Linked DNA regions of Arabidopsis thaliana. The protein of the gene in region 1 interacts with the protein of each later gene in a pairwise test. Each region holds a gene or a part of one and is shown in the gene's direction. Other genes may lie near its edges.

Evidence for each region.
Region 2: the proteins of AT1G10585 (region 1) and AT1G73920 interact in a two-hybrid assay, tested with the Arabidopsis thaliana proteins (one large-scale study listed by BioGRID).
Region 3: the proteins of AT1G10585 (region 1) and AT5G40590 interact in a two-hybrid assay, tested with the Arabidopsis thaliana proteins (one large-scale study listed by BioGRID).

Annotation. Positions count from the first base shown.
Region 1 is NC_003070.9:3,493,499-3,497,255, reverse strand, and holds AT1G10585 (basic helix-loop-helix (bHLH) DNA-binding superfamily protein), read left to right. Parts: upstream 1-2,011; 5' UTR 2,012-2,151; coding exon 2,152-2,289; intron 2,290-2,571; exon of another isoform or gene 2,572-2,600; coding exon of another isoform or gene 2,601-2,642; coding exon 2,643-2,960; intron 2,961-3,051; coding exon 3,052-3,141; 3' UTR 3,142-3,486; downstream 3,487-3,757. Other genes in the region: AT1G10586 (basic helix-loop-helix (bHLH) DNA-binding superfamily protein), read left to right, coding at 57-125; AT1G10580 (Transducin/WD40 repeat-like superfamily protein), read left to right, coding at 3,591-3,757.
Region 2 is NC_003070.9:27,788,717-27,792,473, forward strand, and holds the start of AT1G73920 (alpha/beta-Hydrolases superfamily protein), read left to right. Parts: upstream 1-2,020; 5' UTR 2,021-2,477; coding exon 2,478-2,518; intron 2,519-2,879; exon of another isoform or gene 2,880-2,884; coding exon 2,885-3,058; intron 3,059-3,142; coding exon 3,143-3,539; intron 3,540-3,637; coding exon 3,638-3,757. Other genes in the region: ARP4A (actin-related proteins 4A), read left to right, coding at 577-589, 726-817, 947-1,093, 1,181-1,254, 1,407-1,584.
Region 3 is NC_003076.8:16,250,778-16,254,534, reverse strand, and holds AT5G40590 (Cysteine/Histidine-rich C1 domain family protein), read left to right. Parts: upstream 1-2,100; 5' UTR 2,101-2,221; coding exon 2,222-2,926; 3' UTR 2,927-3,217; downstream 3,218-3,757. Other genes in the region: AT5G40595 (uncharacterized protein), read right to left, coding at 456-614, 759-1,025.

The DNA of each region.
Region 1 (3,757 bases):
TTTGAAGGACTATATATATATGATAAATTAATAATCACCTAAATGAATATTTGCAGGCTATCATATGTCGGATCGGGATTGATCCATCAAGGATAGAAGAGAGATTAAGGGATATAATCTCATGATTAATTTTTTGAAGCATTATTGAATCCCAAATCACAAGTCTTTTCTTAACAAATTAAATGTGTTAGTTCTTTAAACATGAGATTATGAGTATTTTTAAGAGTGAATTGGTGTAATAGCCCTATTGTTGTTTAAGTTAAAGAGAATGATCAAATGTCTGAATACCATTTCCTCAAGTATATGAACGAAAAAGCCTCTCACATCATCTTCAAAATCTCTTTATTTTCTCTTTTCTTTCTATGCCTAATCTCTATTACGTTTATAGAATCTCATGTTTAAATATAAAATATATTATCTACTTTTATTGTCAAGAACTCTCAAATTTTCTTTCATTGAGCATTTTAAGCTCAAATATTTTATTACAGGCGCCGTCTAAAATAGTCGTAATTGATATTTGCATACATAGAATAGATAGATGTTATGCATCTGATGACTATCTTCAAAACATGTTCAAGGGCATAGGCATTTGGATCCACTTTTGGAGTTTTTCATATTGCGATAGCAAGGACATTCATCTTTGTTTTCTCCTAAAATCACACATGGTTAGATTTTGTATGTGAATATAGTTAACTAAAACTTAAAAAACATGTATATATACACGACATAACTAGTAAACAAATCTTTTTTTCTAAATGTCTTATATAAATTGGACAGTATATATAGATCGATAACAAAAATTTCGCTACAAATTTTCTAACTATAAGTAATCATCCTTTTCTAGCCACAGAATTAGTTACAAGTAATTATAGGCTTAACATTTTAAAATTGGGCTAATCTGTATTTCTAGTCACGGATTTTCAATGGCTATGAATTATGATAGTTACCAAATGACTATTCTCTTCTTGTACGAATTCAAATATTTGAAGAAGGAAAAAAAGAATAACATGTGGAAAATGCAATAAGGATATAATTGTCCCTTACTCAGTTTCTAAGCAAGTGGTCAAGCAGCGAGACGATATATACACAGTGTTAGTATCATATTGCGGCTCCTTTTACTTTTTATGTCAGTTTGCTCAGTGGCAAAGTTATGACCAACATCTACCTGGAGTACTCCAAGACTCAACAAAACTAGGCATGTTTAATTTTCTGTCTTTGTATTCACCTCCGGTGAACGTTTAGACGATCGGTCCATGTAGATCCCCTATCCGGTGAACGATGTCGGCCATACGGCCAAAGAGAGTTGAGGGCCTTTAATAATTTATGTAAGGAATGCCGAATGTGTTGTGTCCTTTTCTTCTATGATAATGATAGCTTGTTGAATAATCTTAGGTTATGGCGCCTTATGATACTTTCCTCGGATAATGAATACGTGCACCAAATTAATTGAACATGATGATACTATTTGATTTAGTGGTCCCGATTCTATCAGTATACAAAACAATTTTCCTTTTCTATTTGTTGATAGAAACATATATAGTACTGTTGTAAGGAATTCATTTTTGTCTACCGTGGCTGTTGACTATTTTACGCCATTGAAATGATTTTTGATAATAATTTTCTCCAAACCTACTGTAAATCACAGGACTTAAACTCATGGTTAGTAATCTGAAAGAAGAAGAATCATATCTCTGAACGTTAGGAATCTCATCTCACACGGTAAGCATGATGCTATCTAAACTATGTCTTTGAACGTTAGAAATCTTACATCGAAATTATGATGCGTCCTAGTAATGTGTCAACCCACCAACAAATCTAATTTTTTTTTTAATGATAAACAACATATCTAATTGTTTTGAAACTTTTGTATCTTTAAGAACGTGGAAATTCCGAAGTAAATAGTAAAATTTACTTGGTAGGAAAGATGCATGCATCTTATTAATTTAGTGTGTAAGCTCACGGACGCAATCACAAAAGCCATGACTTTCTTCCAAAACATCCCTTTCATCTAAATCACGTAGCTCTTTCTCTCAAAGTTGAGATTTGTGACTCTGTATCTCCCGGCCCTCTCTATCTCTTTAACTGTATATAAAGAGAGATGGATTTGAAAAGAGAAACTTGTACATAAAAGCTTAAAAGAAAACAAAAAGAATGGGGAGAGCAAGAGAAATAGGAGAAGGAAACTCATCGTCGTTAAGGGAACAACGAAACCTCAGAGAGAAGGATCGAAGGATGCGCATGAAACATCTCTTCTCTATACTTTCTTCTCATGTTTCTCCCACTCGCAAGGTCCGTTTTTTCTCTCTAACTCTCCCTCTCTCTCTTTCTCTCTCTATATATATCTTATATTAAATTGTAGATGTGTTTTATGCGTATATACAACAATACAAACATTATCTACATAATTACTGTAAGATGTACGTTTTATTCTAAAGAGATAATATTTTGATTAATTGAATAGGCAGTTGTCCCTCTATGACCGTCCATATTAGCTCTCTTTTAAGTACGGTGTCTAATTGACAAATAAATGATTCACGTAGCTAGGGTTTTTACGGTTTATTTATATATATTGAATATAACCACATTCATGTAAAAGATTAATGAAAGTAATTATCTTGGGGTTTTTTTTGGGATCTAAACAGTTACCAGTGCCTCACCTTATAGATCAAGCGACATCATACATGATCCAATTGAAAGAGAATGTAAATTATTTGAAAGAGAAGAAAAGGACATTGTTACAAGGAGAACTCGGGAATCTCTACGAAGGGTCGTTTCTTCTACCCAAACTCAGTATTCGTTCGCGGGATTCGACCATAGAAATGAATCTGATCATGGATCTAAACATGAAAAGAGTAATGTTACACGAGCTTGTGAGTATTTTTGAAGAAGAAGGAGCTCAAGTAATGAGTGCTAATCTTCAGAACTTGAATGATAGGACCACTTACACAATCATAGCCCAGGTACCACATCCACACGCATATGTTTGTATAATACACACGTATATGCATGTGTCATGTCTTTCGTATAAATTTTTATTACATATATTTGCAGGCTATCATTAGTCGGATTGGCATTGATCCATCAAGGATAGAAGAGAGAGTACGGAAAATCATCTATGGATATATATATTTTGAAGCATGAAATCCCAAATGATAAGTCTACGCTAACGCTAGTGTGTTTTTTCACACATGTGTTAGTTCTTTAAATATGAGATGAGTAATTGCTTTTGAGTTCGATTATGATAAATATGTTGACCGTCAACATAAGAAACCTTAAAACGTTGTCGTTTCGTTTTTATTCATCCCGGTTTAATTCAGTTTGGCTTGGCGTGATTTTAGATTGGTCCAGATTTGCATAATTTTAACCACCGAGTAAGACAGTGGGATGTAAATGTCAATAAAATACACTATTGGGGTAAATGTGAAAAGAAAAAAATAGTAAGAGGCTATATTTGAAAATCTAAATATCGCACAAATTGCAACCCTTATTTTAGATTTAGGAATTTTGAAACCCTTGTCGAAGAGAAAAGAGGCAAAATCTCAGTATAAAGTTTCTCAAACACTTGTGGTAAGAGAGCAAAATCGTGAGAGATGGATCTGATTCAATCCTACGAAGAAGAAGACGAAGCCGTTGCTTCCTCGCCGGAATCTTCACCGCCTCGTATGTTAAAGGCGAAATCATCGGCGCCGGAGGTAGACGATACGGCACTAGCTCTCACGGTGGCTAACGTGAATCAATCGAAATCGAAGCCGATTGA
Region 2 (3,757 bases), about 24 Mb from region 1:
TGAGTATTTAAGGTTGGAATCAATTGGTTTGGTGTGTGTGACTATGGACATGAATTGTTATTGCACACATGATGTGTGTTTATTTGTTGCAACACTTGAGTTCTTCATGCTCGTTTCTTATTTGGTGTTTTTGAGTTCATTCGTAAATTGTGCTTCTTGTTGACCACAAGAAAACAAGAATGTTACCGGAATCTCGTTAACAAATTTTTAGAATTTGAAATAGTTAACCAATTGAAATACCAAATTTAGAAAACTTGAGCAACAAAGTCGTTGTAGTATAGTGGTAAGTATTCCCGCCTGTCACGCGGGTGACCCGGGTTCGATCCCCGGCAACGGCGTATTTTTAATTTTTTCATATTTGTTTTTATTTTAGTCCCTTTGTTTTCAGTTTCTTTAGTTTTAGTCCCTCATATTTCAGGTTTGTTTGTTTTAGTCCTTCTCTTCTTTATATTCAACTTCCCAATCCGAGACAAAGTGAAATCACTTAAATAGTTTACTTTCCGGTTCCGTTCTTAAACCTTCCGACGAAGCTCCGGTAGAGAAAACCTCTCTTCACCTCTCCCATTCTCGGCAGCCATGTACGGTGGAGGTAGGTTTTATTTTCGTCCTCTCTAAAATCTCTCTCTGATTGTACAAATTCAGCATTACTTCTTTCCCTTTTCGCTTGAGCTCGTCTCGTAAAGGTGTAAACTTTTCCTTGGTGGGGTTTCTTATATATTGAACAGACGAAGTGTCAGCTATCGTAGTAGACTTAGGTTCTCACACTTGCAAAGCTGGTTACGCCGGAGAAGATGCCCCTAAAGCTGTTTTCCCTTCCGTAAGTCTCATTCTTTACTTCCTCTCTTTTCAATTGGTTAAAGTTAGGTCCTTTTAGTGTAGAGCAAGCAATTCGAGAAATTTAGGTTTTTTGTTGTTGCTGTTGTTGATGTGTTATATAACTTATAAGGTTGTTGGAGCGATAGATGGAAATGGAATGGATATTGATGATGCTGCAAACACCACGGAGGATGCAAAGGAGTCTGATAAAGAAAAAGGCAAAAGGAAGCTTTACACAGGATCTCAAGCTTTGAACTTTCGCCGCGATCAAATGGAGGTCAGTTTTCTTTATTAAACTTCAAAATGGTTAGGGATGAAGATAAATTTTCAGGTCTCTCTATTAGTTGACATTTGTCTGTTCCAGATATTGTCACCTACAAAGGATGGCATTGTAACTGATTGGGATATGGTGGACAATGTATGGGATCATGCTTTTAGGTAATTTGCAGAATCTGTTAGTTTTTGTCTTTAACTGTTTAATCTTTATCTTTTCCATTTATAGTTGATTGATGATTTCATCTGTGTAAATGTTTATTATTCAAGGAATTGTCTAATGATTGATCCCACGGAGCACCCAATGCTACTTGCAGAGCCTCCTCTGAACTCACAGCAGCAGAGAGAAAAGTCTGGTTTCTCTACCTTTTATCGATGCTGAGTTCATCTTGGATTAGGAACAGATTATTCTGGTGGAACATCATCAATGCAGTAATTGAAAGAACGCCTCGAGAAAGACTTGGTAGAAGTAAGGTAGTATACTGGCATCGTTAGGCTCATTCCAGCAAATGTGGTTCTCCAAGTCTGAGTAAGTAACACATTGGATTGCTCTCTAGATCTCGACTCACGTATAAACAGTGTCTTCTCATCGCTAGGGTTTGAGTCTTTTTGTGTACATGACAGGTATGCAGAGCATGGAGCTTCTTACATCCAGAGGAAATGCCCTTAAAAGCTGCTTGAGATCAAGATAACGAGAACCTTTGGAGACAGTCAGAGGGTTTAGGGATTAAGTAATTAGTATCTTTTCATTTATTTAGGCAAATATTAAACACTTTTTTATTATTATTATGAAGCTTTAGAAATAGCTTCGTATAATATAATGTTTCAACGTTAACATACAACAAATGTACTATTTTTCTAAGTGAAAACAACCACAAATGTACTTGTGTGTTTGCCTGTTTGGTAAATCCACCTTCTCCGTTATCCAAAAGTCGAATTTACGTGTCGTAGTTTTTGTCACATTCGTCATTATCCAATAACACATGTCCACGTGTCACCATTTTCTGGTCTCTGGACGGCAAGAATCGCCGACGTGCCCCTATTTAATCGGATTCTCCCATTTTTATTTTATTTTCGTCAGATTCTCTCCAATTTTGTTTTTTCTTTTTAGATTTTTGATTCTCGAATCGCGGCTCCTGTGGGTCTCTGTGTTTTCCTTATTTTGAGTTCGGATTAAATCTCGATCGCGATTTGGTCCAATATCTCCTAGCATCGAGAGATTTCTATTCTGGCTAAATTTTGTGTTTTCTCAGGTGGATAAGAAATTTTCTCTTTGTCGTTTTCCTCGATAATTTTCGGATTACGGCGACGAATCAGATTGTTTTTTGGTTTCAAATTTTCTGATATTTCCAAAAAAACAAAAAAATCTGATTTTTGAGAAAAAAGCAATGCAACGGATCGTGGACAACGCTCTCGCTGTAACCAAAGAGTGAGTCTTTTTTCTTATCGATCATCAGTGGATTCATCTGTGTATGCGCCTATAGTTGTTCTAATGTTTCATAAATGACAAGTAGAGATTTTTAAGTTTTTGATCGTTTGGTGATTATAGTAAGTCTCTTTGTTAATTAGTATTGGTAGATTGTGTTTTTGAGTTTTGTTAGACCATTTTATTCTAGTATCTTCATTCAAAGCTTCGTCTTTTAGAGTTGATGTTGGCTATGAACTTTGAGTCGGTGAAATGACTATTTCTTTTTTTTTGGTTCGTCTTTTTGTTAGATGTTCTTCTTTTCCCTTATGTTGTCTAACAAGCTTAAACTAAATAAGCTTTTTGATTATGTTTTGGCTTTTAGTGCAGATCAGTAAAAACTGTTACATATGAGTCTTTGAATAACATTGCGAGGTGCATAAATGGAGTATCAGCTCTTCTGTTGACCCTTCTCCCAGGGAAGGCTAATATTCTTGAAGGCTTACATGGCTGGGAACTCAGGCCTACGTTTCGTGGACCACGTTTACCACGGTGGATGCATAAGTAATAATTTCTCATGATTCTTCTGTTGTTAGTTTATTTGCAAGCCTTCAAAATATGCTAATTTTACTCTGTTTTTGATGGCAGTGGGGTCTCTTCTTTCAATGAGTTCATTCATGAGCTTTCTGTTGATTCTGATACTTCAAGCTTGGAGTATTCTTCTGGAGAAGATAGTGATGGTCCTTTGCCTCCATCACCATCATCTCAAAGCTCACGCCTCTCTTGGGCTAGCACTTCTGCAAGTTCTGAAAACCACTGGACAGAGTGGATTACGTTCATTCTTTGGTGGTTAATGTTTCCTGTACGGATCTTGCTATGGATACCACAATATATTATAAGTTTATTCTATAAACGAAGTTCAAGAATTCCTGCGAGCCCGAGAAGGCACCAACATTCATCTAGACCTCGTATTAGCAAGACCAACTCAAGCAAAGACCATGATGTTCCCAACCGAACTACTGATAGAAGACGTGGGGTTATTGAGGTTTGTGGATGCACGAACAAATATTCAATGTTACAATCATTTTTGTGATTTTAAACCTTTTGACAAACTCGTCCTACTTAATGTGCTTTATTTTTCAGGATCTTCATCTTGCTATCGAGATCGGCATAGAAGCAATATTTGATTTTTTTCACAAGGCTACGCATCTTCTTCTTTCTCCATCAGAAGCTTTTGCAATATTGTTATCATGGTTCTCATCT
Region 3 (3,757 bases), on another chromosome or scaffold:
ATGAGTTAGGTTTTTCACAAATTACCAAACAAATGTTGTACTTTTTCATCAAAGGTTTGTTCTTTATCAGTCATTAAAGATCTAAAAACTGATTTTCTCATTAGAGAATTGACTGTTGAAGACTTGAGAGTAGTTAAGACATATGCTAGTAGTATGTGAGACTGAGTTTTAAGTAATTTTGGAATATTTACTTCCAAATTCCGCAAATAGAATCTTTAGGGTTATTTTGTAGTGTAAGAGTTTTGATTTGAGTACTTTGTTAAATCGTCATTTTTAGTTATCTATTGGCCTTAAGAGTCAAGCATTGTGCTTAATATTAGATTCACACTCTTCAACTTGATAATGATAATTCGATATTACGACATACATTATAAAAGTAAAAACTCAGATGCCTGGATGAGTTCGGAAAATAGTTGCATGAATCTCTTGACTTTGAATCCCAAATGTGAACCATCTTAGTTCGATTGACTCGAATCACTCGTCATGTGTCGAAACATGATTGTGCAAGTCGCTGTGTGGGCAAGATTCTTCATCATGGCGAAGACTAAAACAAGAAGCACAGTAGCCGAAAAGGTTTGAACAGTTCCTAGCTCATTCCCTATTCTCCGGAAATCCTGATCAGTTCAGAAATCCCGAGGAACACCCACGATTCGGACCCAAAATGTGATGGCCGATGGGTAGTCCTTGTGTATAATCGGTTCCCACCTTACAATAGAAAGCATCCAATGATTATAATTGAAAGTCTCCGTTTTCATCACCTCAAGAATATCTTCCTCTCTCTCGAAATCTAACCTGAACGTTCCCAATCCCAAGTCCCTCCCAACCACTTGACCCTCTAGTTTCCAGATTCTAGGCATCATCAAAACTAGTGATCCAACACTCTGAACGTCAGGATTCATAATCTTTCCGATAAGTGTCGTCCTCTTTAACCTTCTGATTAATTCCGAGTTGTCAAACATGCGAACTCGAATTGTTCTTGGCAGGGGCTTAATGCCCTTGCCATTGTTTTCTCCAAACCGCGACATGGTACCGTAAGAAACCGAGTTTGATCGTATGTAATGTCAATGTGTGAGTGTGACCTTGTCTGAATATTAATCTAATTTATAACACATAAGATCATCGGTGAAACTGCTACATGAATGAATCACAATTCGAATCATGAGGATCTCTTACATAATATTAACATAAATTGACAAGTTATTTTTGCATGATTGAATTCCATTACTGTTCCCCAGTGATTCTAATTTTTTTGACTAAGGAAACCATATCAATAATCAAGGATTCCGTAATCTGTTTATTATGACATTTCTATTACAGGATCCATTATGATTCATCCCACACGAAGATTTTCAAACTTGTGATTGTGAGCGTAACATAATCGAATCGATTACAAAGATATAAACTAACTAAAATATGTTAATTTATATTTTGTTTTTTTATATATATATATATTTATGATTTTAATAAAACAATCATATTATTTTAATGCGTTGTTGTTTTTGTTTTCACAATTCTATTATTATTTCGAGCATCTCTTATTTTTGTATCTCCACCAATTCTTTTATCATTTTTTATCATTTCTTATAAAAAAGTGTAATTCAATCATTTTACAATATAGTATGTATGCATTCCAAAAAACATTATTGTATGAAACGAAACGAAACGAAACGAAACGAAGGAGTAGACGGTGGATATCAGCCTTAATTAATTAGAGTCAAAGCATTGTGATTAGTTTGACTTTTACATCCGTCACTATGTCAACGTTAATGTATTTATCCCCAACTTGCTAATGATAGAACAATATTTATTTTGATTTATCTTGAATTTCAACAGGTTAATTAGCTAATTATAGTTATAACATTTAAAAAAAACTCAGATGCGTGAACAAGATCGCAAACTAATTCCATGCATAATGCATCTCTTGACTTTGAAATGCATTTCTTGACTTCGAATCCCAAATGAACCATTTTGTTATATACTTAATATATAATATATTATATATATATATAACTTAAAGCGTGACATTGTTCTCCCAATTATATAGTTAATCACTATAAACTACAACTTGGTTTGATAGTCAAATTCAAAACCAAGACTCAATATCACTAAGTCTTCTCCATTAACGCTATAAATAGATTGAAATCCTAAGCTAATTACAATCACAAACACAAACACAAACAAAACGCCTCTCAATACTAAATCAAGAACATTGAATAAAACAATGTCTTCACGACAATCGGTGAGGCACCCGAGTCACAACCATCCATTGCGCGGTCACAAATGCGAAGCCAAAGACGAAATCATCTGCTCCGGTTGTGATCTCGATCTGGTTGGTGCAGCTTTCAAATGCACAAAGTCATCAGATTGTGATTACTTCTTGCACAAGTCATGTTTTGAACTTCCACGTGAAACCAACCACAAATCTCACCAACCCCACACTTTGACTTTAATCTATTCCCCAAAGTCAACGTACACGTGTAATGCTTGCGGCGAATACGGATCAAGTTTCACGTACAACTGTTCAATCTGTCAGTACGATGTACATGTCGGATGTGTTTCAATGCCTGAAACAGTGAAGCGTGAAGATCACCCACATCCACTTACTCTTCTTTACGGTTCTCCTTATAACCAACCCGGTTTAGTTTCCAAATGCGATGTTTGTGAAGACATTGTACCGGATAATCTCTGGTCGTATTATTGCAAGGAATGTGATTACGCTACGCATTTACACTCATGTAAGAAAGAGGAAGAGGCAAAGAAAGAAGATCAAAAAGGAGAAGGAAGTAAAAACTCGATGAATTCGGAGTTAGCTGCAATGTTAGAGGCTCAAAGAGAAGTGGAGAGGATGCAGATTGAGATGCATTTGGCGATGCAAAGTGCTTTGATTTCGAAAAAGGCGAATAAGGCAGCTCTCAATTGCATCTAATTCGAAGAAGTTGGGATTCTTCAAATTCTCTTTACTTGTGTCTGTTTTTCTTCTTTTTGTTGCTTTTTCTTGATTTATGTTGTTGTTGCTCCTGCAAACTTTTCATGTTGTTGTTGTTGTTGTTTTTTTCTTTGAAATTGTTATCTGAAATAAAAGAATTATCAGTTTTTTTTTTTGAACGATTATTGCTGCTTTCGTTTTTGTAACCATGTTACCTTTGCATACTATGTTTCAAGTTCCATAATCCATTTTATATTACTATAGGAAAAATATATAAGTATTGGATCACCCCTACTTATAGATTAAAAATATTGGGAATAAAGTATTGAAATTGTGAGATTTGGGGTTATTTAAAGTAGTTTGTGTTAGTGTTATCGATGTGTTAATAACGGATGGTAAAATAAAATCTAAAGTTTAAGATTTAATTATATCTATATTATCAATATAGTATTAATTACATTTTATTTTATATTTCTGTCAATGTTATTTGTTCGTAAAATCAAATTGATCTCAAAACTGAATAAAAAACAAACAAATCCAGACCTTGCAAATGCAAACACACAATTAGAAGTGATGATGTCAAGAAAAACACACACACAATTAGAAGTCACATAATCATTAGGGAGTTAACAAATGGGCTCATTTTGACAGAAGTTAAGCCCATTAAAGTAAAGATAGGCCCATTTATAATAGAGCCTCAAAAATAGTTTAATTGAGGAAGAAGAAAACTCTCTGCTAAAGTTGCTTGCTTTCTTCTTCTTCTCCGATTCGAGCTTCCTTCCTCTCAGCAAAACCTTCAAGTAAAGGTAACATCACTCTTCTATAAGCTTA